Arabidopsis thaliana: one gene and its partners. The protein of the gene in region 1 binds, or shares a complex with, the protein of each later gene. Each region holds a gene or a part of one and is shown on either strand. Other genes may lie near its edges.

Region 1 (8,125 bases):
AAACACAAACACTGACTCATTCCTTCGAACCTTGTCATCTTCTATATAGAATTTCATACGATAATTCCACCGTAAGAATTTCTTATCCCATGCAGCAGCTGGAGTGACTTGCTTGTCACGTGAACCACGTGTGACCGAGACGGAAACATAGACAGTTGGTCTGAACAAAAGATTGATGGAGTTGAGATCTTGAGCTGATAGAACGTTAATCTCCACCGGTTGATAATACTCCATTATAATCAGTAGAAGAAGAAGAGATGAGTAACTTAGAAAGAGGAGGTTTCGGGATTATAAAAGTTGTTTGATTAAGGGTCCTAGTATAACTACGAATCTTTTATATATATCGTTTTAAGGATTTGCATCCAAATCAAAAAGCTTTTGGTATATTATTTTGTTGGGTCAAAATCATTATTTATTGTTGAAATTATGCTATAGATAAATACTTTTTATTATTATTATTTTTTATCAAGCAGTCTTAAAATATAATAAAGGATAAATCAGTAGTTTAGATGTCAATCTGAAATATTTTGTAGAGAGGCTGATCAGTTTCAAACACCGCCCGTAACTGAAATAATATTGATAAAAACTAAACTAAAACAAAACCGAAAAAGAACTGATATATAGTACAATCACGATGAATCGAAACTATAAGAAATTTGTATTAAAAAAAGATTTTCCTTAAAAAACTTTTACGATTATTAGTATGATCATGACTAAAAAATCCTCTACAACATCGAAAATTGTCTATCTTGTTGGAAAAATATCAATTGGACAAGAGAAAATATATTTGCTAGATCCGATAATATCTGATTTCAAATAAACTAAACTAGATTTTAACCCGCGGTATACCGCGGGATGATTTATTTTTTAAAAGTAATATATATTAAAACTTGCAAATTTTATTTTTATAAAATATTTATATTTTACAATTTATGATTGTTATTAAGTATTTATATATATTAATTGTTATTAAAAATAATAAATTAAAGATTTAACCCGTATTGAAACAGTGGATTAATTATATTTTACTTTTTATTAATGTTGATTCAAAAATTCGTCTTGCCAAAAAGTCATTTATTTTATTAATATTAATTTTATTTATGATATGACTTTGAATTATAATCTAAACATTTTAGCTAATAACTTAGGAGTGTACCATATTTATTTAATAGGGGCCGAATGCACTTTTACCAAAATCCACCAAAAAAGTCTTGCAAAAATACTATAGACCCAAATGTACCATATTTTTTTTTGTGCTAATTTTTATGTGATTAAGATTTAATTGATTTCGTATATAAAATATTAAATCGTTTTACGAACTTATTTGTTTATAATTTGGTAACAGATAGATATTTGAATATTCAGTATATTTTGCTTTAGTTTAGGAAATTTTTGATGACCCGTCTTTAAATCCAATAAGCCCTATAATTAAGAGATGAATATTGTCGTTAAATAATTTTGATAATCTTAATGATGTCATTAAAAGATTTTGTTTTTGATTAAATTTTTCTAATGGCATGTAATTAATTACAAAAAGTAAGGTTATGTACTTTCCAAATAATATAGTAGGATATTGTTATGCTCTAAAATGTTAGATCTAATATCAAACGCGCAGAATTAAAACGCATTTGGTTTCAGTTTTCATGCAAATTTGGTTAATTGTTTTTTTTTTTTTTTTTTTGCAGTTTGATATTGGCTTTAAAATAGGAAACCAATAAAGTTTTTTTTTTTTTGGCAAACTGGAAACCAGTAAAGTTAGAAAAACATTCTGGTTTAAAATCGGTTTATATGTCAAATGTGGATATTTAGAGAAAGAGAGATGTTCTATTCACTTTGAATTTTGATACCCTTCTCCAGATAATACTAGTTAATAATACCTAAGGACAGACTTTTGTTTTTCTTTAATGTAATCTTTCATAAGGAATGATAAGGGACGTAACCCAACAAACCCGTGACGTTGGCCACAGCATCGTTACACCTTGTTAACAGCTCCATCATCTGCAGGGAGATGTCCACCTTAAGCTGTGACGGGTCTAGTGGTGGCTCGACGTGGTCCACTTGGTTATTTACAGGCTTTGGTTCTGAGTCTTGTGAAGAGAGAGGAAGAATCGAAACCGAAAATGGTGACTCTGTTTCTTTCTCACCCAACATGAATTTCACTCGTACTGTTCTGTGGTTACCATTACGGTTATTGCCTGGTTTTTTCAAACAAGACTTGAGCTGGATGTTTGGTTGGTGAACCGGCGGTGCTTGCTCTAGTAGCTGGTTCAATGGTTTAGTGATGGGTTTGTCTGTCTTGGGCCTCTTGGCTTTCTTCAGTTCATGATCTCCGGATGCAGAAGAAGCTTTCATGTCACGGAGAAAGTATGTCACATTCACATTGCCAAAGAGAGATTTGCTTCCTGATACATATCTTAAGGCAGTCTGCGCATCGAGTTTATACAGGAAGCCAACACGGCAGATCGAGGATTTCCAGGAAACTCTGATGGCTGATTGATCCAACTGTCCAAAGCGTCCAAACCTCGCCTTAAGCAGATCAATGGAAGGGAGAGATTCACCAGGAGGAAACATCATGACCAGCATTGTTGGCTCAACTACCATTGCAGATGGACCCGTCTTCTTTTCTTGTTGAACTATAGCTGGTTTGGCATTGATGGGAACTCGACATTGGTCTCTTACTGGATTTAAAGGTGCAAGACTTGATCTCTTTGTTGCATCTTGGTTTGTTTTCTTGTCAGAAGCCAGTGGTTTGAACTGAATGGTTTTCTTTAGCTTCTTAGTTGATGGGACATCTTGTTGACTGTCAGACGATATGCGGTTTCTCCCAGCCTTTGATTGTTCATTAGCTCTGCACAAAGTCTTTGCAGATTTTGACAGTTTTGTTGCGGAAGGAGATGTGGCCAAGCTTTTCTGGTAAACATGTGATCGGAAATGAAAAAAGAACTGCCTTATAACTCTAAAAGAACTTCTATCTGAGGATCCAAAGAGAGGGTCAAGCGAGAGAGCTAGCAAATTACTCAACAGCTGCAGACCATCAAGTTTCACTATCAACATATTGGAGCGTCTCTTTGCTGAATCTACTTGTGACGATTTCTTGGCCCAAGCTTCTCCAGAAGATAACGCTTTCCTCTTATCTGGAGTGTCACGGTTCAGCTCTGACACATACTCTTTCTTCTTTTTCTTTGGTTCTGGAGGACAATTCTCAGATTTCATTTCGCCAGAAGACCGTTTCACGACATTGCCTTTCTTGATCCCAACTCCTGCAGAAAATTTCCCACCACTAAAAAGCTTGAGAGAGCTTTTGTTAGATCTAGAATTTGTTCCAGTCTCATCTTGTTTAAGGCTTTTCATTGGTTCAAATTTCTCCTGATCTGGAAATAGAGTTGCTTTTTCTCCCATTCTCACATCTGACTCTTGAGCTAAACCCTTGTCATCATCACGAGAGAGCTTTGAAACAGAGGATTTCTTTCCAGGAATATTACCACTTGAAGAGGTGAAGTTCATGCTGACAAGCCCAGTCTGCTCATGTTTCCTGGGAGTTTGGAGACATGGAGTCCTTCTCTGGAGTAGACGATCCCAAGCTGAAGATCCGTTGATGCCCTGAAACTGAGAAGATTCTTGGACCTGGCCAAATTGAACTGTCATATCACCAGCTTCTTCTCTTCTTTTTGGAAGATATTTGTCTTGTTTAGTAGAATCCTTTACATTCATAGCTTTTGTGTAGCTCTTTGGGTTGCCCAGAGTTTCTGCACTGACCAATGAGCCACTCAAGGGGACTGTAAACACAAGCAATGCATGAGGAAATATGAAATCTATTCCAACCACCCAACACAATGAGATTTCACAATCCAGAATTTAAGATCAAAGATATGCCATATCCTTTTGAGGCATTCTAAGAATACAACTTCATAGCTATAAATCCTACAATAACAACCTTAAGAAAAGCATTTTTGATGTCGAAGGATACCCAAACCACAAAACTCTCGAATGTAGCCTATATGGCTCGAGAAACAGAAAAACAAACTCAACGAGATCACCAATTTATAGAGTACCGTATCTCTGTGATACATAGGAGAAAGATCTAATAAAACTCCATAAAATTCGATTTTGGAAGCAGAAATATTACAAATGTATTCAAAACAATGCCAGGATCGCTGAAAGGTGAATCTACCTCGAAGGGGTGCTCTATTAAGTGGTTCATGTGTCTTCATTAAACAGTATACAGATCTTGCCCTGAAAGCTTGTTCATATGTTTCATCAAACTCCTCAAACACTGCTCTACGGAATGCACAAACCGCTACTTTCTTCTGGAAAGACTTTAAGCTGTCTGTATCACACTCTTGAGGTGCTAATGCACACCGCTTCACAAAAGCTAGAGTTTGCACAGATGAAAAACTATCCCTAGCTTTCTGAATCTGCTTAGAAGAGTAAATAGCTTGGACCTCGTAATCAGGCACGTCTACAGCAAAGTAACCTTGAGCATTAATAGGCCTAAAGTTATACTGATTCCGACATTTACAAGTCAAGCCAAGAGCTGACCTTCTACCTACTTCATTCATAGCTTCTTCCACAGCTTTTGCAAAGTGATCCGAACTAGTTTGCTGTGATTTCTCCTTCACATGAGGTTCAAAAGGGATAAGCTCAGCAGGATCGAACCATCCATAACTATTATCCCCAAAGAAAGCAACCAGAACGTAACCCATCTTCTTCACACGACGAACAGAGGGAGACGCAAAAGCTTCATTGAATATTTGACCTGGCCACCATGGATGTGACTTTACCTTTCCCCAAACCATATCTCCCACTTCAAAACCATAGCTCAATGCCTTCGAATTTCTAGAACCCATTTTCTCCCTCGCAACATAATCGTCAAATTCGGATAAGAAAGATTTGTAGTCCGGAACTCGCCTTTTCTCCATTTTCTTCTCACCAGATTCGTTGCAGAGCTCATAAAATCGGTGATCAGAGTCTCTAATCTCTCTTTTCATTTCACAAAATCTAGGTTCCGTTTCACTGTTAGACACTCGAGAACCTAAATCGACATTTCCATTTCCATCACTTCCAGTGTCTGCAGCAACCGAATCAAGCTCCATAAGGAAAGCTTCGGCCTGATCAATCATTTCAAATTTCCCGGAGCCATTGCCAGAAAAAGTAACGAAACTATCACCAAAAACCCTAGGATTCACATTCACCTCAGCCGAATTCATTTCTCTCTAACCACACTTGAACCCTCGGTGTTAAAGAGCTTTCATAACAATGAAACCCTAGAAACAACTCGAAGCCAGAAGATGCGTAACTTTGTTTAAATCCTGAGATTGTTTGCTGGAAGAGAAAATTTAAGAAATTTCATGAGAGTAAAGCTGGAGAAGATGACAAAAGCATCACTTGGTGAGAAGGACATTTTGGTAACTTCTCAGCGTCATAAATGGTGATGGTGAACGGTCGAACTTCCCATCCAGTAATAGGTTGCCACGTCATGGGACAAAAAAACGTGATCTTTTTATTTTATTTTATTTTGCTGCCTAAAACGTGATTTTTTGTCCACTTACGAAGTGAGGTAAATTTAATTTAATTTTTAATGCAAACGAAGACTAAAGAGTGAAGAGAGTAAGAGACTCGTAAATATAAGAAAATTATGATTGCTGATCGTAAACTGATTTAGTTTTCATAATTTTGTCAGACACTCCCAAAACAAATATTTCAAAAAAGTTAACGAATATTCTGGTGAATCACTTGTATAACAGAGAACAAAGCTAAACATCGGTAGTAATCAAAGCTCGCTAAAAAAATATCTTATTGGAAGAAGAAACAATGCGAGAGACTCAGACAAAAAAAACTATATATATTTCTTTACTGAAAGCAAATATCGTCCGGAGGAAAATGGCATTACCGGACCAAAAATGATCAAGGCGAATCATCATCTTTTTCCTGAGGGCTTCCAGCGAGCCAGCCCCATACGCCACCCGAGCCCTGTCGTTTAGCGTTCATTGCAGCTTGTTCTGAGGCAGCCTTTTGACGTTGCAGGAGTTCGAGTTCCTTCTGTAGTGTTTCCAATGTTTGAAGCTTTTGTCTTAGCTCTGCAACATCAACCTGCAGATTCGGAGAAAGTGACCCAATTAGATTTGCTTTGTTTTTGTTCTTATGACGTGATGAAGCTTATCAATAAATGACAGAGAAGATATGTGATAGATCCAGTGGTTACAATGGATGAATGTTCTAATCAAGATTCCTATTCATCCTGGAATATGAGTATATGTAGTCATTAAATCACGGGTTTCACGAGATTCCAAATTCTGTAGGTTATGGTACAAAAGAGATGTGGCTACGGTTTAGTACCTCCAGTTTGAAACACCTTGATTGTTCGGCTGCAAGTTGGCCACGAACAGATTGAAGTTCCTACAAAATGTCAGTACAAAGTTAGGTATATCATATTCGAGGAAAAATTCCGAGATTTCAGATGTTAAATGTGAATGCAATTGGAAGACTGCTGCAACCAGTCTTTATGAACGATTGGTTCACCAATTTATTCATGTCGGCTTCTGTTTTAAGAAGGTGATAATATTAGTACCTTGTACAAATCTGTGTTTCGTAATTCTGCTTCTCCTAACTCTTGCCTTAGTTGGAGAGTCTGCATCCTCTCTTTGTTCAGTGATGCCTCCAGCTCTTCCTTCTCAGATTTAATAGTCGCAATAATGCGTTCGCTGTTTCCTTCAACCTGGGGATTAATCACCCAAAACATAATAAGAGTGCGAGAAGGTGATGATCCGGACTGGAGTAACTATATTCTGTGTCGACACAATCACTACCACAGCATATATGCATAAGATGCTTCAATTCTCTCAAACAAATCAAAAGGTGGTGCTATGCAAAATATATTAAGGAGGGAAATTTGACAAGAAGATACCTTTGATCCAGGGTTAACATTGTCCATGACAATTTCCCGTACCCTGCCTTCTTGGCTCACCTCAACCTCAGACTCAATGTCTCTGGTTGTGGCATTATTAACAGCAGAAAGACTACCTGGCAAAGGCGCTTCCAGAGTCTTTGTTTGCAATGTTGATTTGTGGCTTGGTTTAAGAAGATTAATCTAATGCCAGATAAGAATTAGAAGCAGAACTAAATGAAAAATTAAGAGAAATGAACTTATGGGTTCAGATCACAGTCCCTACTTCGTTATTGTAACGTCCATTGTATCCACCAAAAGCGACTAGTACATCTTCACCATTGTATGAACTCACCACTAAACTTAATCCCTGTCAGTAGCAAAGGAAAGGACGATGGAAATGAAATAAGCATGACTTGACTTTTTTCGAAGTCTTGAAAAGGCTTCTACCGTGTTTATTTGTATAGCTATCTGGGAATTAATATGGATAAAGTCTGTTTATTTAAGTACCTCGCTAGCAAGAGGTACACGTCCTTGAACTGAAGCAACGACCGACCATGCAAGAGTTGACATGTTTAGTACAACACTCTCCGATGCCCCTGCAGTAATTTGTCACAAAATTAGTCACCCCACACACACAAAAAAAAAAACCCAAGCAAATATCTTTTGTTCTAGGGGGTGATAAACAGAACGGTTGGGAAGAGAAAATTTCCAAGGGAAAAGTGCATTAACATACCACTCTTGTTATCACCGCCACCAACAATAAACCAGTTCTCCCCAATTGTCACGCCAGCATGTCCAGCTCTTGGAGTTGGTGCATCACCTTGCTGTGCTGGTCTTGACCACTCCATCTATATGTGACAATTATATCAGAGGCTGACAAAGCATGTTTGAGAGCAGCTGAAAGAATAGACTCTTAGCTTAACTTACAGTTTGCAAATCAAGGACATGCAGGTCATCGAAACAGGTTGCATGTGAGCCGCCACCAAAGATAAGAAGGAACCGTTCTGCATGCACTGCAGCAGCATGATCAGACCTCGGAGATGGAGATACACCCCTGCAATTTGACACCAATTTAAATCCTGAATTGCTAATCTTTCAATAACGACTAAGATACTAAAGGAGATAGGAGGTCGATTTCTAACATATTCATATTCTGGTTATATATCTAATCTTAAATGGGTTTGACTTCTTCGAAAGAGAACAAAATGCAGAAACATCATAAAATCTTACACGGCATCT
Region 2 (7,020 bases), on another chromosome or scaffold:
GAAAGCATATAACAAGGAAAAGTGATTACCCAAGTCAACAAAAATGGGTAAATTAAATTCATGGTGTGACCAAATTTAAATTACCTAGCTGTGGTGGTACCTAAGCGGACAGCATGCTGTTGATAACTGTTGAGTTGCTTTAGTATGAAAGGCAGATGACTGTTTATTCCACAAATGATGATATGGTCAGATTCTAGGACTTGCATATGTGCCCCTTCCCTCACTTTTTTCATATGATACTGCCCAAGACAACATCGATCAGGATAACTTTTACCAATTAACCAATAATGTTTATCTCAAGAACTTACCCGAAATTGCTCTGTCATTGTGCTTAAAAGCCGAGAGTAAAACACTATTCCCCAAATGGCTAGGACAAATCCAATGAGTCTTTCGAAGCGTGTCTTTTGCTGCAGTTTGCAGTAAACATATACATAGGCATTTATTTAGTAAGCAAGAACTCCATAGAAATATCGTGAGACTAATATAAGTTGTTCTGTGAAGAAGCAAATCATGACCTCCAGATGAGTATCAGCGTTAACGAGGCATGCCCAGGCCTCCCAGAGGCAGTCTTCTAAGGATGTGTCTTTCCTTCACAACAAGAAGGAGGGGAATAAAAGTAAGAAACCATGCAATGGATATCACAAGAAGTTCTTAAACATAGCTAAGTTACCTGAATTTGAAAAAGAAGAGTCCTCCAATGATAACAAACGAAAAGCATGTTATCAGGAGCACCACAAATACCCTACAATAGCCATGACAAGTGATCAGAACGGATGTCATATATAGTCACATGCCTGCAAACAGCTATACTCGTTAAAACTCTGAGACTACATTGGGGTTTAAGGACGTACGTGCCAAGGTTCTTCTCAAGCTGAGTATTGAAGAGGTAAGAAGACCTTGCAAGACCCCATTTGATATCATGGGAAGAAGGAATGGCCTTGAGTAAAGGATGTTTGTCTATAGCGTTTGATGCACATGCAAAAGGCAAGCCAGCCTTCACTGAATTCTGAATGAGATTTGGAAGCTCTTGAAATATCTTTTGCGCTATTCTCAACACCGCATACAGTGGGATGCATCCTATCACAAGTTTATATGGAAGACTCTGCATATTTAATTAAACAAGATTATATTATTATAAGCATATGGAGTGATAACACATTCAGTGATGAAACTCATTCTATAGATTCACCTTATAGAATTTGGAATTTAAATCTTTGAAGTTTTTATTAGGCGGCTCTGTATCTCCTGTCCTTTGAGATTTGACTTTGAAGGTCCCTGTCATATAGAGAGAAAAAAAATACAATTAGCTAATCAAGAATGAGTCTAATTGTGGAAGAACAGCAACAATGAGACCGTAAAGAATTGCATCAAAGTTGGAAAAATATACAGAACCTGACCTCTGAAACTAGAAGACTTAATCCCACCTAAAGGCAGAGAGTGTAAACTCAAGCTCCTGCAAAAAAAGAATCAGAGATACACAACTTGTAAACATCACAACCCAATGAGCTTTGATTGAATGACAATTTCCAGATTTTGAATCAATTTACGATATACCTTTATCTTACAAACCCAAATTCCATTTGAAACTAAACTCTAAACCCAAATTCAGAGCTCCTAACTAAAACCGTCACATTTTCTAATCGAAACCATTGAACTTGGCTACATTTACTGTAAGCAAAACATGAAGTAAAATTCACCGGAAGAAGAAACAACAAAAATAAACTGTGATATATGCCCAAGCAAGTTTTGAAGATAAGGACGAAGAAGACGCTGACGGAACTAGAGGGTTCGGATTATAAAGAAAAGAAGAGAAGACACAGAAATAAACAGAGGCATTGGCATTTCTTTTAGAATATAGAATTTGTTGAGAGGAGTTACTTAGTATTGATCGCTTAAATGATAAATACCGTGTTCTTTAAGTATCTGTATCAGTTGTTTGGAAATAAAGAGCTTGTTTCTAACAAAAACACTCAAAATCTTCTGAGGATCACAAACTTCACAATCATCATCTTATCACTTATGGATAAAGTCACCACCATGCAATTGTTTTCAGAAATATCAAGTATAAGAAAGAAATTACAAAAACAAAACCTGTGAAAAGAAGCTAATCGATCTCTTGTCAAAGCTTGAGAAGGTAGAATCAATGGCTTCCAGGTAAACAACTGAACAGCCACCATCTTTCTTAATCTTCTCCTTGATTTATCTTACGCTCTTTTTGTTTCTCTCCTTATATATGTGGGTGGAGTATGGACACAAGGCTGGTTTTTTAGATTTTTGCGTGATTATTTTGTTGTTGTTATATTGTTTTGGACCATATTAGTTAGCCCGTGGGGTGTTATGAACATAAAAACAAATCGACTAATTTTTTTTTTGGCTTAGAACTTCATTTGAATAGGTAAACAACGCAGAGGAATCGCGTCCATAGAATAGAATATAATAAAAACAAAATGGTACTCTTATCGCTTTGAATTTTAACTACTTTCTCTTATTCCACTCACTATTCACGTTTTTATATACATACATACATATAAGAGTACATGTGCTAATAGCTGTCCAAACAAAAAAAAGAGTACATGTGCTAATAAACGACTATTTTTTAGTACTTTTGTTTCAATCGTTAAAATCTCATCCACAATTTTGAATCTCGAACGTTACTGGCTCCCAAAATATCCTCTCAATGTTGAGACGCCACATGACATAACAATAAAAATGACAAAGACATAACAAGAAAATGGATTTTGCATTTTTTGACCATTGAGAGAGCTAAGCACTTTACACAATAAACGGTGTTATTGTGTTTATATATGAATTGATATATTATTTTGTTAGTCTATGAGGAGTATTTAAAAATATCCCCAAAAGAGGTTTTTCAAAATATCACTTTTTAGTAAAACATACTATTAAACAAGTTTAGAAAACTTATAAAAAAGTGTCTTAATGTTGTAGGAAAACATTTGGTTCTCATTAAACATAAAATTAACAAATTTAATTCTTTAGAAATAAACTAGTTGTAGTAAAATTCTAATCTACTTGTAGTAAAATTCTATTCTATTTAATATCAGTAAAAACAAGTCAAATTCAAGTTCAAATAAAGAGGGAAAAGCAAAAGTTTGAAAATTTTGAACCTCACTCAATGTAATAATGTATGGTTGTGATGAGTCGAGACAAAATCAAGTACTGCCACGTGGAATAATTCGTGACGTACACGTAGCTCTCTCATAAACCCCCTCAAAACGAAAGAAACTCTGTTATTTCTTCATTACCCAAAATCTAAGCTTTCGTCGCCGGCGAAACCGTAACCGCCACCGGAGGTTCTGTCCACCTTTTTTGCTCTCCGATTATTTTCTTCGTCTCTCGTATGATGTACTGTTTTTGCTTTAATGGAAGCATATACTGAAGCAATTTCTGCTTTTTTTTGTTTCTTCGTTGTCTAGGGATTTTTGTTGGTGCTCGTTATGTCTACGGAACCAGAAGGAGTCGAATCTGACTCCAACGCTGATTTTGCCATAAATGCGTCGAGTTTTGACTACGGTATGGCTCACACATCTGAAACCCTAGCTGATCCCATGAGCTTTCAAGCTCAGGACTTGGTAGTGAACCTCACTGGAGTTGAGCGAAAAGTATTTGTCTCTGCTCGTGATGATAAGGATAGTCTCTGTAACGGGGTTGATTTTGATGCTGATTCAGATCTGCTTAAGAACAAGGATAAGAAAGGATTTTCTAAAGAGAATCTGAAGCTTTTTGACTCAGATTTGGTTTGGGCTAAACTAAGAAGTTATCCATGGTGGCCTGGACTGGTCTTTGATAAATCTGTTGCCTCTAAAGCTGCGATGAGGCACTTCAAGAAAGGAAATGTCTTGGTTGCGTATTTTGGGGATTGTACATTTGCTTGGAATAATGCATCTCAGATAAAGCCTTTTCATCAGAATTTCTCTCAAATGCAGGAGCAGAGTAACTCCGCTGAGTTTCGTGATGCTATTGATTGTGCTTTGGATGAGGTTTCAAGGAGAGTAGAGTTTGGTTTATCTTGCTCTTGTGTTTCAGAGGAAGCCTATAACAAACTCAAGACTCAGAACATAATCAATGCTGGAATTCGTGAGGACTCAAGTGTTAGATACGGTGGAGACAAGTTATCGGATGGAATCTCTTTTGAACCTGCTAAACTTGTGGATTATATGAAGCATTTAGCTTGCTTTCCTTGCTATGATGCGACTGAGAAGCTGCAATTTGTGATTAACCGAGCTCAGGTATTGGCTTTTCAACAATGGAAAGACTATTCTCACTTCATTGACTATGAAACATTTGTAAGGTCGGTGGAATCTGCTGCGACCCTGGCTTCTCTCCCAGAAGTAAATATGGATGAAGGAATATCTGCCAAAAAGAGAAAGACAGATTATAAAGATAATGCTGAACAGACAAAGGAGAAGACTTTGTCAGATTTGACTGTAAAGAAACGCTGTGGGAGCAGATCAACTGAGAAATTGGATGGTAAGTCGCATTCTGAAAAGAAGCGTAAGGTTGAGTCTTCGGAATCTGGTAAGTCTGAGAAAAGGATCAAGAAAAGTCAGCAAAAGGAGGATTCAGTGTCTAAACACTCTAATGAGGAAAGTCTTTTGTCAGTGGGTGATACTAATAAACTGCAGAAGACGGCTGAACCGTGTCATGGAACTGGAGTGGAAAATGAGATGAATTCTTTAACTCCTACACTTAAGCCTTGCCGTGCTTCTAAATCTACGGAAGTTGAGAATGAGAAGACTAAGAAGCCGAGACATCAAGAGCTTGCTGAAAGAAAGATTTCTTCTCCTGATGAGATGCTCTCAAGCCTTCACGCTGCCAATACCTCAACGGGAATACCTGATTCAATCAACATAGACCCCTCGAATTATGAAGATTTTGAAAAGTTCATTAATGAACTGTTTTGCAGTAAACTCAATGGTGACTCAAAGAAGGCAAGTATCACTGAGACATCAGAACCTTGTGATAAGAAAGACTCTGCAGAAGAAGAGATATTACCTGCAAATAAAGAAATCACTGGCTCAGGCTCGAAAGAGCAAATTGGTCTCAAGGACTGTTCTGCAGATTCATTACCACCCTATGCTTTAGTCCTCAACTTTGCGGATTCAGGTTCGGTTCCATCTGAAGAAAAGCTGAACGAGATATTTAAACGTTACGGTCCTCTCCATGAGTCTAAGACTAAGGTCACGATGAAGGGTAAGAGAGCCAAAGTTGTGTTCAAAAGAGGGGAAGACGCAAAGACTGCCTTTAGCAGCGCAGGGAAATACAGCATCTTTGGACCTTCTCTTCTAAGTTACAGACTCGAGTATGTTTGCCCCAAACGGAAAAAAACAACATGACTGATTGAGTCACGGCATCTCTTAACTTTCAGAGATTAGGGTCTGATCAGATATCATCAGCTAGGTCTTATGATGAGAGTAGATTTTCGATAAATAAACGTAACCTAGGATTTATGATGAGAGTAGGTTTTCGATAAATAAAAGTAACATTCGTGTGATGAGACTAATTCTTAACTTTATGACATACAAAACCAAAACTGGAAATACCAATGATAACAGTAAAGTTAGTCGCAACTGAAGATGAGGCTTATAAGTTAAAAGAGTAAATTGATTAAACACCAATAACATTAAACGATCATGTCTTAATTCAAAAACTCATAAAATGTAACACAAAATCAAGTTCTTGAAACATAAAGTAGAACAGAACAAGACTTAAACTGAACTATCAAAAACCATATCAAAAGCTTGAAGCTTTTTGTACGGGTTGCTTAAGATCTTGGCTTCTCCTTCTTTTCCTTGAAGAGGGCCAAGAGTGAAACACCAGAAACCTTCACGACCTTGAACCTAACTCCGGGAATATCTCCCACAGCGTGACCCTTACGACCAAATCCAGCAATCAAGACCTCATCCTGCAACACCATAAACAAGAAATGTATCAGCATATGAATGAAACTAATCCATAGTGTGATGATTGAATAGTCATTTCATGTGACTTACGTTTTCCTCGATGTAGTTCAAACAACCATCATTGGGGACAAAGGCAGCAATCTTCTTTCCATTCTTGATAAGCTGAACTCTAGCACACTTACGGATAGCAGAGTTAGGCTGCTTAGCCTCAATACCACTGCATCATCAAACACAAGAGTCTCATCAACGACCAATGTCTCTACTCAACAAATCAATTATAAGAAAAAGTAAACTTGAATGTTATATCAGACTTACATTTTCTCAAGAACAATTCCTTTAGCGTGAGAAGAACCAGCAAAAGGCTTCTTCCACTCATTTCCCAAGTGAGACTTCTTGTACTGCTTGTCAGCCCACCTCTGGTTAATTCGGAGTCTCTTCAGCTTACGCCCAGCTCCCATACCACGTGTCTTACTGTTAACAAATCATCACAAAATAACATTTGAGAACAACTTCACTCGATAAACCATAGTTAAAACTCAGAAAATCAATAAGAAATTCATCTAAATAATAACAAGACGATAGAAGATTTATCTCTAATACATCAGCAAAAGTGAGCTTCAAAACCCAAGAGACCATAGATACTCATACAGCGAATTTTAAATCTCCAGTTATCAACCATACTAGAACTCCAGAGTAGCTCAAAATTTACACAATCTATTGTGGATCTATACATAAAAAACATTTAGCAAACATATCCAGAAATGAAGACGCATTTGCTATAGAATCAGTTCCAATCAAAAACCACAATCAAAAGTCGAAAACATGTAACAATTTCAAACAAAAAAAAAACACAGCAGACTCTATAGAATCCTTCATAATTCATGGAAACAGCAAGTGAATCAGATAAATAAAACGCTAAACAGAGAAATGAGATAGGAACACGAAGGATAGATCTAATAGAGGAGAAACGTACCCCATGTTTGTTGATGGAGGAGAAAGATCAACAGCAAAGAGCTATTTGCAGGAAGCACAAAGATGATAAGCTCTTAAGCGGCTGAGAAAACCCTAAACCTAGTGAAGGCAGTGACTCTTAATATAT
Region 3 (7,499 bases), 1.4 Mb from region 1:
CACCAAGCATTTATAGAAGGTTTACAAATGCGAAAATCTGCTAATATCTTTGTGAGGCATGCTCTACAACAATAATGGCTCTGAGATGGAGAGACTCACCGACATAATATGCTCTGAGACTTGCTTGTCGAGTAGCTCATCAGGTTTGTCAAGTAATATGAAAACTAAATCAAACCGTGAGAGAAGGGCAGCACTCATTTTTAAGTTCTCATTTACAGTTTTTGCACGGCTGAAATGAGATCATAAAGACAATGTAAATATCAAGAACATACATTGTCGTTACTATATTTCAAACACTCCCACAATGATGATTGATGAGATAGCAAAGTAAGAAAATTACTTGTAGTGGCCACCAACAGGATTTGCTGCTGCTATAACAGAAGTTCGAGCTGATAGACTAGCTACAAGCCCAGCCTTTGCAACAGAGACACATTGTTGTTCCATTGCTTCTAGCAACGCCTGTTGCAAAGTGATGTAAGTAATGAGAAAAATGTCAACATCAGAAGTAATGACATTGCCGATAAGAAAAAACCTGATGCTCGGTGGTCATTTTATCGAACTCATCAATACAGCACAACCCGCCATCTGCGAGTACCATGGCACCTGCTCACAGAGTAGCACTAGGTTAAGAAAGATGGAAGGTTTCTCGTCCTACACACAAATCAGTTGAACTATTTAAAAGTAGGGGTTCCTCTGCATATACAACTTTTTACTATTGTGCCGTTCTTCAGTAAAACCCTATCCTAATACTGATAAAACACTTTTGAAGATGCGAATTTTTGAATGAACTATCTATATCTTGTAGAAAGATTTTAGACTGCTGCTAATTGATCCCCCACTCTAAAGTCTAAACTATAAGACAGTAATATAACATCCACATAAAATGACATCACTTGAAACCGACAAGGCATACACAACCTCAAGCATCAAGACAAGAAATGAATTTTAGACTAAGTAAGTATTAAGTAAAACTATCCATCAACAGCATGACTCAAACCCATATCGGAAACAGTAGAATAATATGCTATATACTGAGATTTGTGCGGGCTAAATAAAGGAGAGGGTATGAGCTACCAGCCTCAAACGCATAGTCATTTGTCATGGAATCTTTCACTACAGCAACGGTGAGCCCTGCTCTAGTCGTCGCATTACCACATACATAAATGCCACGAGGGGAAATGGCAGCTGCTGCTTGCAAGAGCTGACTTTTGCCCAATCCTGGGTCACCTATTAGTGCATCGAAAATCATCAATCACAATTTCGTGCTACAAACTAGTTACAAATACCCTTTCCTCAGCTCAAGCTAAACATGGTTCAAAAGCTTACCAACAATAATGACATGAATGTCTCCTCTGACTGGAACTTTGTTCCGATCCATCGAGTGCTTCCTTACACCTCCAAAAAGAGATAGTGTTATCCCAGCTGTTGAAATGATAAGAAGAAAACAAACAACAGACGTATCATGATATGCAATGCTTCTAATTGTAATCATCAAATCTTGTTATGGACAGAAGTATAACCTTTGACAATTTCATGGCCATAAATAGACGGGCAGACTGAATGAAGTATGCGACGGAATGTATCAGAACCATATTCTTCTTTGAACTTCACAATAAATTCCAAGTCTCTCTGAGAGAATGAATATAAGTCACCAACATCTGCAGTCTGGGCACTGCTACTAGAGTCTTCTGAGTTCTCAAATGCAGACTGCCGCTTGGTGTTTTTCACTGAAACTGCCTCTATAAACAAATAGTAAAATCCTTGATTCTTGGTCTTCGATTTCCCTGAAACAGGAGCATTTTAAATGTTTGTTAAGCTTGAGTATGGCTTAATACCAGTAATGAGGCTTCTAGCTCCTTGATCTTTGGTAAAATGTCAATATGAGTAAAACAAACAACTTAGCAGTGCTCTATTTTACTTTCCTGCAATGAGATTCCCAAAAACCATGGAAGAGAACTTTAAGAGACAAATTTCCAGCTATTCTACGGGTAAGGATAGCAGGCGTTTGGGCATGTTAATGTTTGCAAATTATGGACACAACAAGGATGGAGAGAACTCCATGAAAAGTTATAAAATCAATACCTCCCCCAATGTCCATGTAATTATTAATTACTCCTATAATCCCTGTAACTGTCACCACATCACCAGGGATACATATGTCCACAAGGTCTTCCATCAGCTCACATTCTACAGTTCTGGGTACCCGTCCTTCTTCGTGGTCTTCAGGCTTTTGCAATTCCTGTACCCTAAAATGCATTTGGACAGCTGGTTAACAATGGTCAGATACATAACTAACAAGGATGAAGTACACAAAATGATGAGACGCAAATAGGAGAACACCTGATTTTCTGAAAATCAATTGTCTGAGCAGAGGACCGGATTGGAGTAAACGTTTTGGACTTGCATCCATGGGAATCACATTTTAGTGGAGGAGAAAACTTTCCATCAGTAAATTCCCGGGTTATGCCAGTTTTGCACTTTCCACAGTCAAAAGCCATCTGTGTGACAAGGGGTTTCACAGTACTAACTTTAACAACAGTCCCATGAACGGTTACAAGCTTTCCTGCAATTTCAAAAGCACACACTCATGCTATGTCTCACTTAAGGTTTTACATCTTATTATTTATTTCGCTAGATGAGACAGTCTACCAATATAAGCTGCTCTCAGGTTTTTCAGGGAGATAGAAGATTCAGGATAATTATGCAGACGAACATTGATCTTCATAACATTCTCAAACTCATTAGTCTCCCATTGATCAAAAAGAACCTGTGAGAGATGACATAAGTCTTCATCTTATGCCAACCAAGAAAACAAACCCCAATGAAAAGTAATAGCATACCTTGTGAACAGCAGCATTCATACATGGGATAACTCCTTTAGGATTATCCTCTAGATTTATGAAAAAGTTCTCGATATCAGATATTTTCTTGAATTGTTGGAGATCAAGAGACAAAGAGAAGGAACCACCACCGTCTTCATTCACCTGGCTCAAGCCATGGAATAAACTTATAAACTGTTTCTCCTATTTTTAGATACTAAGAAGAACTAATTGACGCATAGAGAAGTTGATTAATCGTTTTCTATCTACCCTAATTCTTCATAGAAGTAGAGTGGAAACGAAATCTAGCTAAATAGATTACAATTTCATAACCGGAATTTAATTTCGAAATCAAGCTATACCAAGCTTTATAAAATTCAGATTTATAAACTTTTTACCAGAAATTTGATGATGGCCAAGTGAGGATGTACCTGAGAAACTATGTCTCTACCAGGTGATGCGGAGAATACGCGGATGAGCTCCGCCGTGAGCTGCAACTTATCCTCGTCGATGGCCAAATTCTCGTTGTCCTTGATGTATACAGCTAATATTTTCCCGATGCCGAGAGAATCAATTCCTGTTGATTCAGGGCGACCCGATGCCATGCTTCCACCACCGTAAAATCCCATCACCGCTTAACCCACTGTAACTCGCTCGTCGTCAGTCGCAGAGAAAAATCTCGCTTAGGCCAATGGGTTTTGGCGGGAAAAAGGTAAAGGGCTTTTTGTGATGGGTTTTTGGTAAGTGGGCCAAATGATTGAACCCTAAAACCCAAAGATAACCAAAAGAAAGGATAAAATCAATTAATAAAGCTTTAGTTGTCCGCCACGTGGACTGAACCGCACAAAAATTCACAACAACAAAAAAAAAACGAGAAACCCGTTTCTGGTTCGATTTGACGTCTTCGTTTACTTCATTTCTATAAACGAGCTCCCGCCGCCGGAAAATTCGCTGTTCATCACCACCGTGACCAGAGGTTTGTTGTGAGCACCTTCTCTATCTTTCTTTCTTCACCTGTAGGTTCTGTTATATGTTTTGTTGGGAAATGAACTGAAGAAAATTTCTGATGATTTTCTAGGGTTTTGTTTTGGTACTGCTTATGTCGACGGAATCAGAACGTATTGAATCAGTCTCAGAGGCTAATGCGTCGAGTTTAGAGGTCGGAAATGATCAAATGTCTGAAGCCCTAGCTGGTCAAGCTCAGGAGCTGAAAACAATTGGAGATGATAAAGAAGGATGCGGCAACTTTGCTTCAGCTGGTGATAATGGGATGGAGAAAGTAAATGGATTTACTAATCTTGTTAAGGAAACGGAATCTGTAAATGGAGAGTTAGATCTAGGCACTAGAACCGAAAATGTAGGTGGAGAGAGTAACCAAAGTGACAAGAAGGTTCTAGTAGATAGCGAAGAGGTCATGATGGTAGAGAAAAGGGGGCTTCTTGTTGAGAAGGAAGTGGAACCTGACATGGTCTGTTCTCATGGCGCTGATCTCAGTGATGTGAAGGTTTCTGATGGCAGACTGGATAGTGAAGACCTTGTTCAGGATAGAAAACCCGATGGCTTAGAAAAGCAAGGAACAAAAGTTGAGGACTTGGATGTTGTATGTTTTATGGGTTTAGAACCGCATGAGAGCAAGGATGAGAGTATTTTGGATGATGAAATTGCCCATGTAGCTGCGAAGGTGAAGATCTCTGACTCAGATTTGGTTTGGGCTAAAGTAAGGAGCCATCCGTGGTGGCCTGGACAGGTGTTTGATGCCTCGGCTGCAACAGACAAGGCGAAGAAGCATTTCAAGAAAGGAAGTTTCTTAGTAACTTATTTTGGAGATTGCACCTTTGCTTGGAATGAGGCGTCACGGATTAAGCCTTTTCGACAGCATTTCTCCCAAATGGCAAAGCAGAGTAGTCTACCTGATTTTATTGATGCTATTGATTTTGCGTTAGAAGAGGTATCAAGAAGGATAGAGTTTGGTTTAGCTTGTTCTTGTATCTCAGAGGAAGTCTATCAGAAGATCAAGACTCAGAATGTAATCAATCCTGGAATCCGAGAAGATTCAAGCTCAATACACGGTGGAGACAAGGTCTCAAGTGCAGTCTTCTTTGAACCTGCAAACCTTGTGGGATATGTGAAGCGTTTAGCATGCTCTCCTAGCTATGATGCTACTGATGCGCTGCAGCTTGTAAGTCAGAGAGCACAGTTATTAGCTTTTAATCGCTGGAAAGGCTATACTGACCTCCCCGAGTTTATGACACTCCAGGGGTCAGTAGAGTCTGCACCCAAGATTTCTCCTGCAGAAGAGCAAAGTAGCTTAGTGGAAGTTTCTGATCCTGAACCAACAAAGAGTAAACAAGTTTATACTAAAAGAAGAAAGACAAACCTGCAAACAGAGCAAAGTAGCTTAGTTGAAGTTTCTGATCCTGATAAAGGTGACTGTAAACACGATGGAGTGTTTGAATATGAAGAAACTATTGTTCCAAAGAAAAAGGAGAAAACTTTGGCAGAGTTCATTGCTGAGAAACGCGTAAGCAGACATAATGGGAACACATCACATGAAAAGTCTGGTAATGTTCCGCATTGCGAAAAGAAACGCAAGGTTGTGCAGTCAAAAGTTCCCAAGTCCACGAAAAAGATTAAGGCAAACCTGCAAACAGAGGATCCAGGATCTCCAGTTTCTCCCAAAAATGATCGAAAAAATAATTTGTCTGCTGGTGATAAGATTACACCACAGAAAGCTAGAAAAAGTTTCGGAATTGGGGCAAGCATATTGAAAGTGGCAAACCAGATGCATTGTTCAACACCAACCAGACTCTTACCTTGCAGTGATTCGACCTCCAAAAAGGCAGCCAAGAGCAATGGCAGTGGAAAGAGTCTTCAGGAGAAACCTAAAGCCGAAGCATTATCAGCAAGAGAAATTTCTCCTTCAACTACACTTTCAAGCCCTCACGCTGCTTCTGTTACCAAAACCACAAGTGGGAAATCCAATTCTGTCAGCCTAGACCACAACCTATCCGGAGAACTTGATCAGGTCAGAAAGGAAGCTCCTAGTACTAACCTTGTGGAGGACCCGATGTTGGAGTCTAGAGACTTGAAAGACTCTTCTAAGGAGCAGGTCGTACATGAGGATAAGAAAGAAGCTGCAAATGTAGCGGATGAGAAATCTATTATGGACAGCAATCTAACCGGGGAGAAAATCAGTGGCTTGGACTTGAGAGAGCAGCCGAGTAACAAGAACTGCTCTGGTGGATCTGATAGTTGCAAGGAAGATGTTTCTGCAGAGTAGGAAGGCTCAGCATCAGCGTCTAACCCACTAATACAGATCTTTCTAAAATCGAGTCCGGTTCTTGTTAGTACCCAAGAGTGGAATATACCTTTTAGATGGATTCTCTTCTCTTTCAAAGTTTAGAATTGTATGATTTAATCAGAGTTGAACAAACACTAGTGAGAGAATGTAACAAAGTTATTTTTGTTTTTCCAGATTTGTGCAATTTAATGGTCAATAATTCATTTGAATCCAAAACTAATTATGAATTTGAATAAATAAATTAGAATCCAAACAAAATTAACCTCAACTCGGAGGAAAATAGAATAAGAGATGTCACTGAATAAGTACATAGACATGCCTTCAAATATCAAAAAAAATTCATAAAATGTAGTAGAGCTCAAGACCTAGGCTTCTCCTTCTTTTCCTTGAAAAGGGCCAAGAGTGAGACACCAGAGACCTTCACCACTTTGAACCTAACTCCGGGAATATCTCCGACGGCATGACCTTTACGCCCAAATCCAGCAATCAACACCTCGTCCTACACACAGTATCAATGAATGAGTAATTGGTAAGAATATAATTTGATTACTCATTCAAAAGTAGATGTCAATCTAACTTACATTTTCTTCAATGTAGTTCAAACAACCATCATTGGGGACAAAGGCAGCAATCTTTTTACCATTCTTGATCAACTGAACTCTAGCACACTTACGGATAGCAGAGTTAGGCTGCTTAGCCTCAATACCACTGCATAATCAAACACAGAGTCTCATCAAAGTCAAGATCTATACTACTAACAAAATCAAGAAATGGTAAATATATATGTTTATACAAACTTACATTTTCTCAAGAACGATTCCTTTAGCGTGAGAAGAACAAGCAAAAGGCTTCTTCCACTCGTTGCCTCGATTAGACTTCTTGTAATGCTTGTCCGCCCACCTCTGAGTAATCCGAAGCTGCTTAAGCTTGCGACCAGCTCCCATACCACGTGTCTTACTGAAGATATTCAAATAGAAGATAAAAGAAATTGAGAACCAAAGGACATTTCATCAGATGAAATCAACTCACTCAGAACATATAAAACAAATTCGGAGTTGATAAAGAACATAAAGTTATAATCTAAATCACAAATACTTAACACAAGAGGAGAGTGTAGTAAGGAAAAAAATCAAAAATCATAATCATAATTTCCACATTTCAGACCAAATAACTCCAACGTTTATAAGAAAAAACTACGAATTATAGCAACTTCGTAGCTTCAACAGGGTGATTAACAAAGTATTACTACACGACGTATGAATGTCATTCAAATCCCTTAATTCAACCATCCCGACCCGAGATAACGAAAACGGCAAGGCACCAAAGAGAAACCGGAATAAACAAAAAAAACATAAAACAAATCCTAAACCCGACATAAC
Region 4 (8,287 bases), on another chromosome or scaffold:
ATTACATCACGCCCTACAAAGAAAACAGTCGGAAGATTCATTTATTAATTAATCAATAGTGTTAAATATAAGTACATTTTTTTTTTTATAATAGTTTTGTTATAATCGAACAAAAATACTAGGCCGTTGATTTAATTTTTAAAGTAAATGTGATGGACTAGTACTTTTTTTCTGCATAAAATCTATCCACACACAACAGGCAGAATTGTTTTCTTGGATCCATGTGCCAAAATTCGTAAATATCTGCAAATAGCAAACGAGTGAGTAAACCGTCTCCTCTATCTGCTATAGCCCTTTAAGTCTAGAGACGATTAAAATGCTACCTCCAATATATGTGGTCGCAAATTGATGTAAGTTCTATGTCCTACCTATAGAAATATTCGGCAGCCGGTTTTCGTCATTTAGTATGGCAACACTTCTTTGGGACCATATTTTCGTATTGGTCAACAAATTAAACCCTAACCAATTTCTAAGTCCTTTCCATGAAAAAAACGAAATCTATAAGTCATTGTTGACCAATACAAAAATCTGTTACTATTACATCCGGTCCCATATTTTCAGGTGGGAACTAAATCTAGAGAGAGTACCCAATCTTCAATCCGGAAATTGATTGACAAGGAGTTGGAGATGTCTACATTGAAGTGGATTTCAATTTTCGAAAATGGTAAAGGATCACATTGCACTTTGAATAAAGTTATACAACGTTAAAAGAAGATAAAGATATGAACACATTTTATATCAAAGGCCTTAATAAGTATATTTGGGCCTATTAAATCGAACCTTTAAACAGAAAAACTGGCCCATAAAATAACCGTGGTTGTGTTATAACAAGCCGGTTAAGTACAAACCGGAAGCGACTCGTGTTTGTTTAGTGAAGCGATCAAGCGAGCGAGATCAGTCAAATAGCTTTTTCATTGTTCCTCAGATCGAAGAAGAAGAAGAAGAGCTTAGCAACAATGGTAAATCTAGATCCGTCCAAGTGCTTTCAGTCACAGCTAATTTGATCTCTCTATTTGTTGCTTTTACGATTTCTGATTTTGTTTGGTGTGTTTGTGCTCGTTCCCGGTGAGAAGGCGGCGAAACCGATTGCGAGTCCGATTCCGGTGGCGCTGTATCCGACTTTATCGGTGTTCACTCTTGCGATTGGTCTCGTCATTACCGCTATCTTCTTCATGTAAGCTAATAATTGATCTGATCTCTAGATCTTCGAAATTGCCCCTTCTTGTTCTCAATTTATATTACTTGATGTCAGATTAGTGAAACAGTTCCTGATAGATTCGATCTACCTATGATTTATCTTGATTTTCATAAAGCTTGATTAGTGTGTGATAGTCATGACTAGGTTCTGAACTATGAATCGTGTGAGGCTCTCCTCTTGTTTGTTCACTGTGTATGAAGCTTGACCAACATTGTTACTGCTTATATATATGGTTTGGTCACAATGCTTTCTCAATTGCTATTCTCTAGAGATAGGTCTTCTAAAGCTCCTGAAGCTACATGTTCATCACTTTCATGATCTCTTTGCTAGATTAATCTGTTGAAATATGTGCCTTTCTTATTACTAAAGTTTCTGGGTAAAAAGTAAGAAAGTCATGGGACTCATCTAGTAACCTTTTGGAAATGTGTGAGCTCTATATACTATCATGATATAAAGACTCAAAATTTATCAATGATAAGGTGATAGTCTATGGAAATGGAATCAGTACTCTAATAGTTTCACTGAATATGACAAAATGACTGATTATCGATTTAGTTAAGATACAAGAAAGTTAGATTTGTATGATTTTCATTTAAGCGTGGAGCATTTACCTTTCAAAGGGTGGCAAGTTTTAGGAGATATGATTCGGTTTGTTAAAGTAATGTGCGTCTGGGCTACGAGAGCATGTGGGTTAGCCTCGAGTCAAAACTTTAAGATAGACTTGAACCATTCATTTTAGCTTCTTTGTAATAAGGTCATATTGGACTCTTTTGGTATTCATTGTGCTGGTTTAGATTCATTCAGCCCAACAAGGAGTGATCAAAACTTACCCTGTCATAACATTTGTGTTGCAGCTATGAAGCTACATCATCCAGGAAAAACCGAAGCGTCGGAAAGGAGCTCGCTACTTCAGCAGTTGCATCTGTCTTCTTGGTATGGATTTTCTTCTTCACCCTCTTGACTTAAGTTTAAGAGTTTTCTTTAAATCTAATGTTTGGTTAAAATCTGTTTCTGTGTTATTTGCAGGGTTTTGGATCGTTGTTTTTGCTACTTGCTAGTGGTGTTTATGTCTGATCCTTCTTCCTCAATACTATTCCCAACTAGTTCAAAGACAAAAAAAACAGATTTATCTTTGTTCAAGTAAAATCAGAGTTATGAATGTTAAGACTTGAGAAGTAGCCTTTAAACACCAAGTTACAATTAAATTATCTTCTTCTTTTGAACGCTAAACCGAGTTTTGGTTTCAATTTTCACCGCCTTTAGAACAGCGTTTGCGTTGTTAAGTTGATCAGTTAGTAACTTTCTACCAAGATTTAGAAGAAAGCTTTACTCAAATTTTGTAATGGGAAGATACTGATTATACTCTTTAGTGTGAAGAAATCATTTTAATTCGCTAATTTAAGTATTTGCCTATTGGGTATTTGCCGGGACGAAGTTTACTCCACGTGGCATAAATAATAATATTATAAAAAAAACAAAGGAGAGTAGAGAGAAAACGAGAGAAAAGAAGGAAATGGAAAGCGAAGCAGCAGCGACTGTTCAAGCCACCAGGCCGAGAAGAGCACCTAGGACTCCGGTGACAGCCATTTTGACGGATAAGAGAAGACGGAAACCTAAGAGCAACAACGAGTCTCAGTTACCATTTTTGCTACAGCAGAGTCAAAAGGCCACCGTTGACGACACTTACTCTCAGTGGAAGACTCTTCTTCCCATTCTCTATGATTCGTTTGTTAATCATACCCTCGTCTGGCCCTCTCTCTCTTGCAGGTCTGTGTTTTTTTTTATAGGTTTTCTGTTTCTAGGGTTTTCGATCTTTGGTTTTGGAGAAAGTTGGTTCTTTTTTGGGAAATAAAAATTCTAGCTTTGTGCTTTTGGTCAGGCGATTGAGTTACATTTCCGTTTCAGCTAGTGAAATACTCATAGATTGAGAGTTTTTCTTAGCTGGTTTCTGGAATTTGTGAGATTAGGACATGTTCTAGTTCGGGTTTTTAATTTAGCTCAGTCTCCATGCTTTTCTGTGTTTCTTTCTCTTTTAGGCTTTTAGCTCATTAGCTATCTGATGTTTCCATTTTTGAACCTCTGGAACTTGTTTTGGTAGGAAAATGATGTCGTTGATAACACTTGACCAACTCGGTTTAGGTGTTCTGTTTTGTTACTTTTTGGTTTCAGATGTTTAGCTGTGCTACGATTTAGTGAAGTGTTTAGCTTTTGTGTAAAGAGGTACGATTTCGTTGTAATCCTGTTGTTTGATTTGAGCAGATGGGGGCCACAGCTTGAGCAAGCAGGTTCTAAGACTCAACGTCTCTATCTCTCGGAACAAGTGAGTTTGCTCTTGTTCTTGTGGTTTGTACATTTTTTCTTGATGAAAAATATCCAAAGTTTGTTTACTGCTCCTTATGTTTACCGTTTTTTCTTGGTTCTGTCATTAGACGAATGGCAGTGTGCCTAATACTTTGGTCATAGCCAATTGCGAAACTGTTAATAGGCAGGTAATTAGTTTTTCTCTACCAAAGCTTGTGCTTTTGTCCTTGTGTTACTCTCTGCTGAGATGAAATTATTGAAATACCGTTTCTTTATATGCTTTCAGCTTAATGAAAAGGCACACTCTCCATTTGTGAAGAAGTACAAGACCATCATCCACCCTGGAGAGGTGTGATATTCCTGTATTCTCATTGTTTTTTCTTAGATGGATTTACTGAATCTGCATTTCGTTTAGGACTTGAGTGCTGAAAAAGATTTTGTTTTGTGTACCCTTCATTCATCGCAGGTCAACAGAATTAGGGAACTCCCTCAAAATAGCAAGATTGTAGCTACTCACACCGACAGTCCTGATGTAAGTTCTGCTTTCTCGGGTCATCAGCGTGACAAAAAAAAGGCTTTCGTTATTCAGTATCCTTGTTTTTGAATAGTTCCAGTTTCAGTCATGCAAGTATGATATATTGGTTTTCAGATTCTCATTTGGAACACTGAGACTCAACCAGACCGGTATGCTGTGCTTGGAGCTCCAGATTCTCGTCCAGATTTGGTATGCTCTTGTGAGAATTTTCGTTATGTTGTCTCACTGAGTTAAACAACCTGCTTGTGCATCATATTAACAATCGAAAGAGCTACTCTTTTTGCATCATTTGAACAACTTTTATTTTCAGTTACTAATTGGGCACCAGGATGATGCTGAATTTGCTCTTGCAATGTGCCCAACCGAACCTTTTGTTCTCTCTGGAGGTTTGTATCAGTTCTATTTTTGTGTCATATCTTGTGGTTTGCAAGTTTCTCATCAAAGATTCTTCCGTGCAGGCAAGGACAAGTCCGTTATTTTGTGGAATATCCAAGACCATATCACAATGGCTGGTTCGGATTCCAAATCCCCTGGATCCAGCTTCAAGCAGACTGGTGAAGGTAGTGATAAAACTGGTGGTCCTTCTGTTGGCCCTCGAGGCATATATAATGGCCACAAAGATACTGTTGAAGACGTGGCATTCTGTCCATCTAGGTAACTTCTTGGGACAGTCTCCTTTTTTAATAAGCTCTTAAGTTTACACCCAAATGCAGACCTACTCAGAATTTTCTGATGCTTTTGGTATAAAAAAATTGGTAATTTTTTGTTTTGTCCTACAGTGCACAAGAATTCTGCAGTGTTGGTGACGATTCTTGCCTTATGCTATGGGACGCAAGAACTGGCACTAGTCCTGCCATGAAGGTACCTCTTTTTTTTAGCCAGATCGACATTTGAGGTTTAACTTTTTGGTCTTGTTTCAGATTCCGTCTGTTTCTTCTTGTGCGCTGGCAGGTTGAGAAGGCACATGATGCTGATCTTCACTGTGTCGATTGGAATCCTCATGACAATAATCTGATCCTGACTGGGTACTGATTTCACAAACTTAAATACTTGTCCAAAAGTACAGAGATGCTACTCGTCCTCTCACTCTACGCTTCTACATCACTTTTCCAGGTCAGCAGATAACACTGTCCGTGTGTTTGACCGCCGAAACCTTACCTCAAATGGAGTTGGTTCACCTGTTTACAAATTTGAAGGCCACAGAGCTGCTGTTCTTTGTGTTCAGGTTTCAACAACATGCCACCACCTCTGTTTTTTTTTTTTGTTTTTTTCTTTTCATATTATTTGTCCTGTAAACCTATCCCCAATGACATTGCTTCGTTATCAATTCAGTGGTCTCCTGATAAATCATCTGTTTTTGGGAGTTCTGCAGAAGATGGTCTCTTGAACATATGGGATTGTGATAGGGTTAGTACAATTTCTCACATTCACATTTAAAACTATTCTCTTACTTTCAAGCTCACCATATTAACATATATGTGTGCACCAGGTTGGCAAGAAGTCTGAGCGTGCAACCAAAACTCCTGATGGGCTTTTCTTCCAGCATGCTGGTCACAGGTTCTCAAGACTTAATTCTAATTCACTTGCTTGCCTTTCCCTTTTACTCTCTTCAGTGGAATCTATAATTTCCTCGTGTATATCTTCTTAGGGACAAAGTGGTCGACTTCCACTGGAGCCTATTGAACCCTTGGACTATTGTCAGTGTTTCTGATAATTGTGAGAGTATCGGTGGAGGTGGTACATTGCAGGTACTTTTAAATGTCTTGCTACATTTACTCTGGAACCTACCTATGATTAACTTTCTCGGTAAAAATGAAAACTTTTGATTTGTAAATTAATGCAGATATGGCGGATGAGTGACTTGATTTACAGACCGGAAGATGAAGTCCTGACAGAGCTAGAGAAATTCAAGTCACATGTTTTCACATGTACCTCCAAGTCTTGAGGAAGCAATCCCATCATGTCTATTAGTATTAGTAAGTTGCTGGGGTTTAGTGTCAGTTTTTGCGAGGAAAATCAGTTTACTTATGCGATTTAGGTGTTATTTTTGCGGAATATTACTTGGTTTATGTAGGCCAGTAATTCAACATATTGGTAGATTTAGGACTTCCGGAATCTTGTATGGTACTTGATCCTGTTTCTTCAGGTTAATCCTAGGCACCTAACTTGCTTGTATTTTCAACTTTTTTTTTTGTGAATCCAAACTTGGTTAAGCAAGACCAAACTAAAACAACAGATTGAATCAGTGAAATCCAAATCTCAAGTGCTTGACATTTGACTCATGTGTCCCTGAACCGTTCAGTTCTACTTCCAACAACAAAAGCAGATAGAAAATCGTCGCTCTTCACCTCTATTCGGTTTCATTTCAAGCAAGATTGGTTCTGCGTAAACCGGGTTGAACCGGATCAACTCATTAGATCTACAAAGGATTTGTGCAATCTTAAGACCTGACATCTATACAAACTTGCAGACAATTGAACTTAATACTCTTGGGATTGTGGGGTGAGGGAGTTAGGTAGCAACATTTGAGGAAATTTATTGCATAATATCTTCTAGTAGATTCTCTCTCTCTCTCTCTCTCTCTCTCTCTCTCTCTCTCTCTCTCTCTCTCTCTCTCTAGTTAAAAACATCTAGGTACTAAGCCTTTCATGGGGTTTTGATTTATCTGACATTAAGTACACTACTCATTTATAGATATAAGACCATCTCATAGGGGCTTCTCTAGGTTTTGTTGGATTCTCATCATTGATTCATTGCAGCTATAACCAAACAAAACCTTCTTTGTCGACGCATACAAACACACACATATATACATAAACACACGTTTTGAGTTTTGTATCATTGTATGTGTATGTGAATATGCCAAACTATTTGTTTGGAAGTGGGGAGACAAATTTGTGGCTCAAGGAGTACTATATCTTCATTGTTCAAGATTTAGTCCTTTTAAAAATCCTAGCCATTAAACCCCTTTTCTGGTCTGCCTCTCTATTGCCCCCTATCGAAATTGTTGTAGTGATGCTACACCATTCAAGCCGATCATTGGTGTTCCTTACAAAGTAATCCAGATGGATCATTTACCTCATTTCATTATAGCATTTTGGCTCACCAAATTAGTACTATTGTTACTTGAGAACGATGTGTGTGTGGTGAACCAATTTTAAGCCTAAAGTTTGTCTAGAGTGCAAAGCTTTTAAGCAGTACTACTCTTGTTATGATCTATAAATGGATACAACGCATCTATAGTTTGCATATTAACTATATGAGTATGAAACACGTAATAACCTGCGAGTGTGTCATTTTCAAGCTTCGAAGATCAAGGAAAAGTCCTTAGGGTCACGGGAAATACCATAGTAGCTAGATTTTTGGAGCTCGAGATTTTGACTTTCCTTCTACCTATCTACACAGACTATGTATATGCATATATATAGTTGCAACGTCAAACCTCTCCGTTTCGTATTTATATCTCTATAATCTTTTGGCATGTAGATTCTCTATCTTACAAAAAAAATAAGATTGATCAACTGTGGTATATTACACATACTGTGAAAATCGTTTTTCTTCTATTTGAACTTGATATAGTTATGTCCAAAAATAATGGTGGAGGTTGCTCTTGTATATTATTTAGTGTTGTTGTTCCAATTTATCGAATATATCGGAAGAAGCAACTCATGTTAATATTATATCCTATTTTATACTATATTATGATTTTGTGTACATCAAAGTACATAGAGATAACACACACAGCTTGAGAAAATAATAATAAAATTTAGATGTATTTGTTTACGAACTCAAAGTTGATTCTCTTCGCCGAGAGCCAGAGCTTCTTCGGGATGTGCAAACTCATCGCAACCGACAAAAGCCTTCGCACAGATTTTGTCTTTATGCTTTGCTTTTATTCTTGTTTTTTCACATTTTGAGTTAATAAATGTTTTTTGCCTAAAAAAAAAAAGAGTTAATAAATGTTGTGTCACAGAGAAAAAAAATGTTATTGTGGATTTTACGTAGAAGGAATGCATATATGGATTATTTCAATATTTTTATGAGTAACCATAGATATCAATTAAGTCTTGATCCAAAATATATATTTTCTAATAATGGGTCATTTTCTGAATTTTATAAGTTAACGATATGATAGCTTACGGATCTGCACTACCTTTGATGAAGATCCATTTCTGTGTATAGTGCAAAAGTTTGATATAATTTAATTTTAACTAAAGTAAGATAATCTACGATAATATCTTCATCAAAAGAAA

The links.
Region 2: AT3G05430 (region 1) and AT5G02950 share a complex: the UniProt entries of both Arabidopsis thaliana proteins name them as parts of the PRC2 (polycomb repressive complex 2) complex.
Region 3: AT3G05430 (region 1) and AT3G09670 share a complex: the UniProt entries of both Arabidopsis thaliana proteins name them as parts of the PRC2 (polycomb repressive complex 2) complex.
Region 4: AT3G05430 (region 1) and NFC5 share a complex: the UniProt entries of both Arabidopsis thaliana proteins name them as parts of the PRC2 (polycomb repressive complex 2) complex.

What each region holds. Positions count from the first base shown.
Region 1 is NC_003074.8:1,564,827-1,572,951, reverse strand, and holds AT3G05430 (Tudor/PWWP/MBT superfamily protein), read right to left. Parts: upstream 5,329-8,125; 5' UTR 5,208-5,328; coding exon 4,172-5,207; intron 3,777-4,171; coding exon 1,915-3,776; 3' UTR 1,734-1,914; downstream 1-1,733. Other genes in the region: AT3G05440 (C2 domain-containing protein), read right to left, coding at 1-234; AT3G05425 (uncharacterized protein), read right to left, coding at 5,347-5,478; ACBP4 (acyl-CoA binding protein 4), read right to left, coding at 5,905-6,090, 6,337-6,396, 6,569-6,715, 6,905-7,087, 7,170-7,253, 7,394-7,482, 7,620-7,734, 7,814-7,940 and 1 more. UniProt on the Arabidopsis thaliana protein: May influence gene expression by regulating the function of the PRC2 complex and modulating H3K27me3 level.
Region 2 is NC_003076.8:687,498-694,517, forward strand, and holds AT5G02950 (Tudor/PWWP/MBT superfamily protein), read left to right. Parts: upstream 1-3,187; 5' UTR 3,188-3,311; exon of another isoform or gene 3,312-3,434; 5' UTR 3,435-3,455; coding exon 3,456-5,354; 3' UTR 5,355-5,602; downstream 5,603-7,020. Other genes in the region: AT5G02940 (ion channel POLLUX-like protein, putative (DUF1012)), read right to left, coding at 85-239, 309-407, 516-588, 671-742, 852-1,102, 1,190-1,275, 1,398-1,453, 2,092-2,177; AT5G02960 (Ribosomal protein S12/S23 family protein), read right to left, coding at 5,783-5,923, 6,012-6,138, 6,237-6,392, 6,895-6,899. UniProt on the Arabidopsis thaliana protein: May influence gene expression by regulating the function of the PRC2 complex and modulating H3K27me3 level.
Region 3 is NC_003074.8:2,962,719-2,970,217, forward strand, and holds AT3G09670 (Tudor/PWWP/MBT superfamily protein), read left to right. Parts: upstream 1-3,482; 5' UTR 3,483-3,795; exon of another isoform or gene 3,796-3,802; intron 3,803-3,897; 5' UTR 3,898-3,918; coding exon 3,919-6,099; 3' UTR 6,100-6,340; downstream 6,341-7,499. Other genes in the region: MCM8 (minichromosome maintenance 8), read right to left, coding at 100-229, 341-459, 533-603, 1,075-1,227, 1,327-1,422, 1,521-1,784, 2,083-2,246, 2,341-2,563 and 3 more; AT3G09680 (Ribosomal protein S12/S23 family protein), read right to left, coding at 6,479-6,619, 6,702-6,828, 6,922-7,077. UniProt on the Arabidopsis thaliana protein: Together with PDP1, PDP3 and PDP6, interacts with MSI4/FVE and MSI5 to suppress FLC, MAF4 and MAF5 expression by regulating the function of the PRC2 complex and modulating H3K27me3 level, thereby promoting flowering.
Region 4 is NC_003075.7:14,556,947-14,565,233, reverse strand, and holds NFC5 (nucleosome/chromatin assembly factor group C5), read left to right. Parts: upstream 1-2,632; 5' UTR 2,633-2,711; coding exon 2,712-2,965; intron 2,966-3,457; coding exon 3,458-3,518; intron 3,519-3,627; coding exon 3,628-3,687; intron 3,688-3,785; coding exon 3,786-3,848; intron 3,849-3,965; coding exon 3,966-4,031; intron 4,032-4,148; coding exon 4,149-4,223; intron 4,224-4,344; coding exon 4,345-4,420; intron 4,421-4,492; coding exon 4,493-4,688; intron 4,689-4,813; coding exon 4,814-4,895; intron 4,896-4,985; coding exon 4,986-5,059; intron 5,060-5,147; coding exon 5,148-5,259; intron 5,260-5,366; coding exon 5,367-5,441; intron 5,442-5,523; coding exon 5,524-5,591; coding exon of another isoform or gene 5,592-5,682; coding exon 5,683-5,782; intron 5,783-5,877; coding exon 5,878-5,979; 3' UTR 5,980-6,307; downstream 6,308-8,287. Other genes in the region: AT4G29735 (uncharacterized protein), read left to right, coding at 957-959, 1,074-1,174, 1,796-1,861, 2,053-2,131, 2,225-2,272. UniProt on the Arabidopsis thaliana protein: Core histone-binding subunit that may target chromatin assembly factors, chromatin remodeling factors and histone deacetylases to their histone substrates in a manner that is regulated by nucleosomal DNA.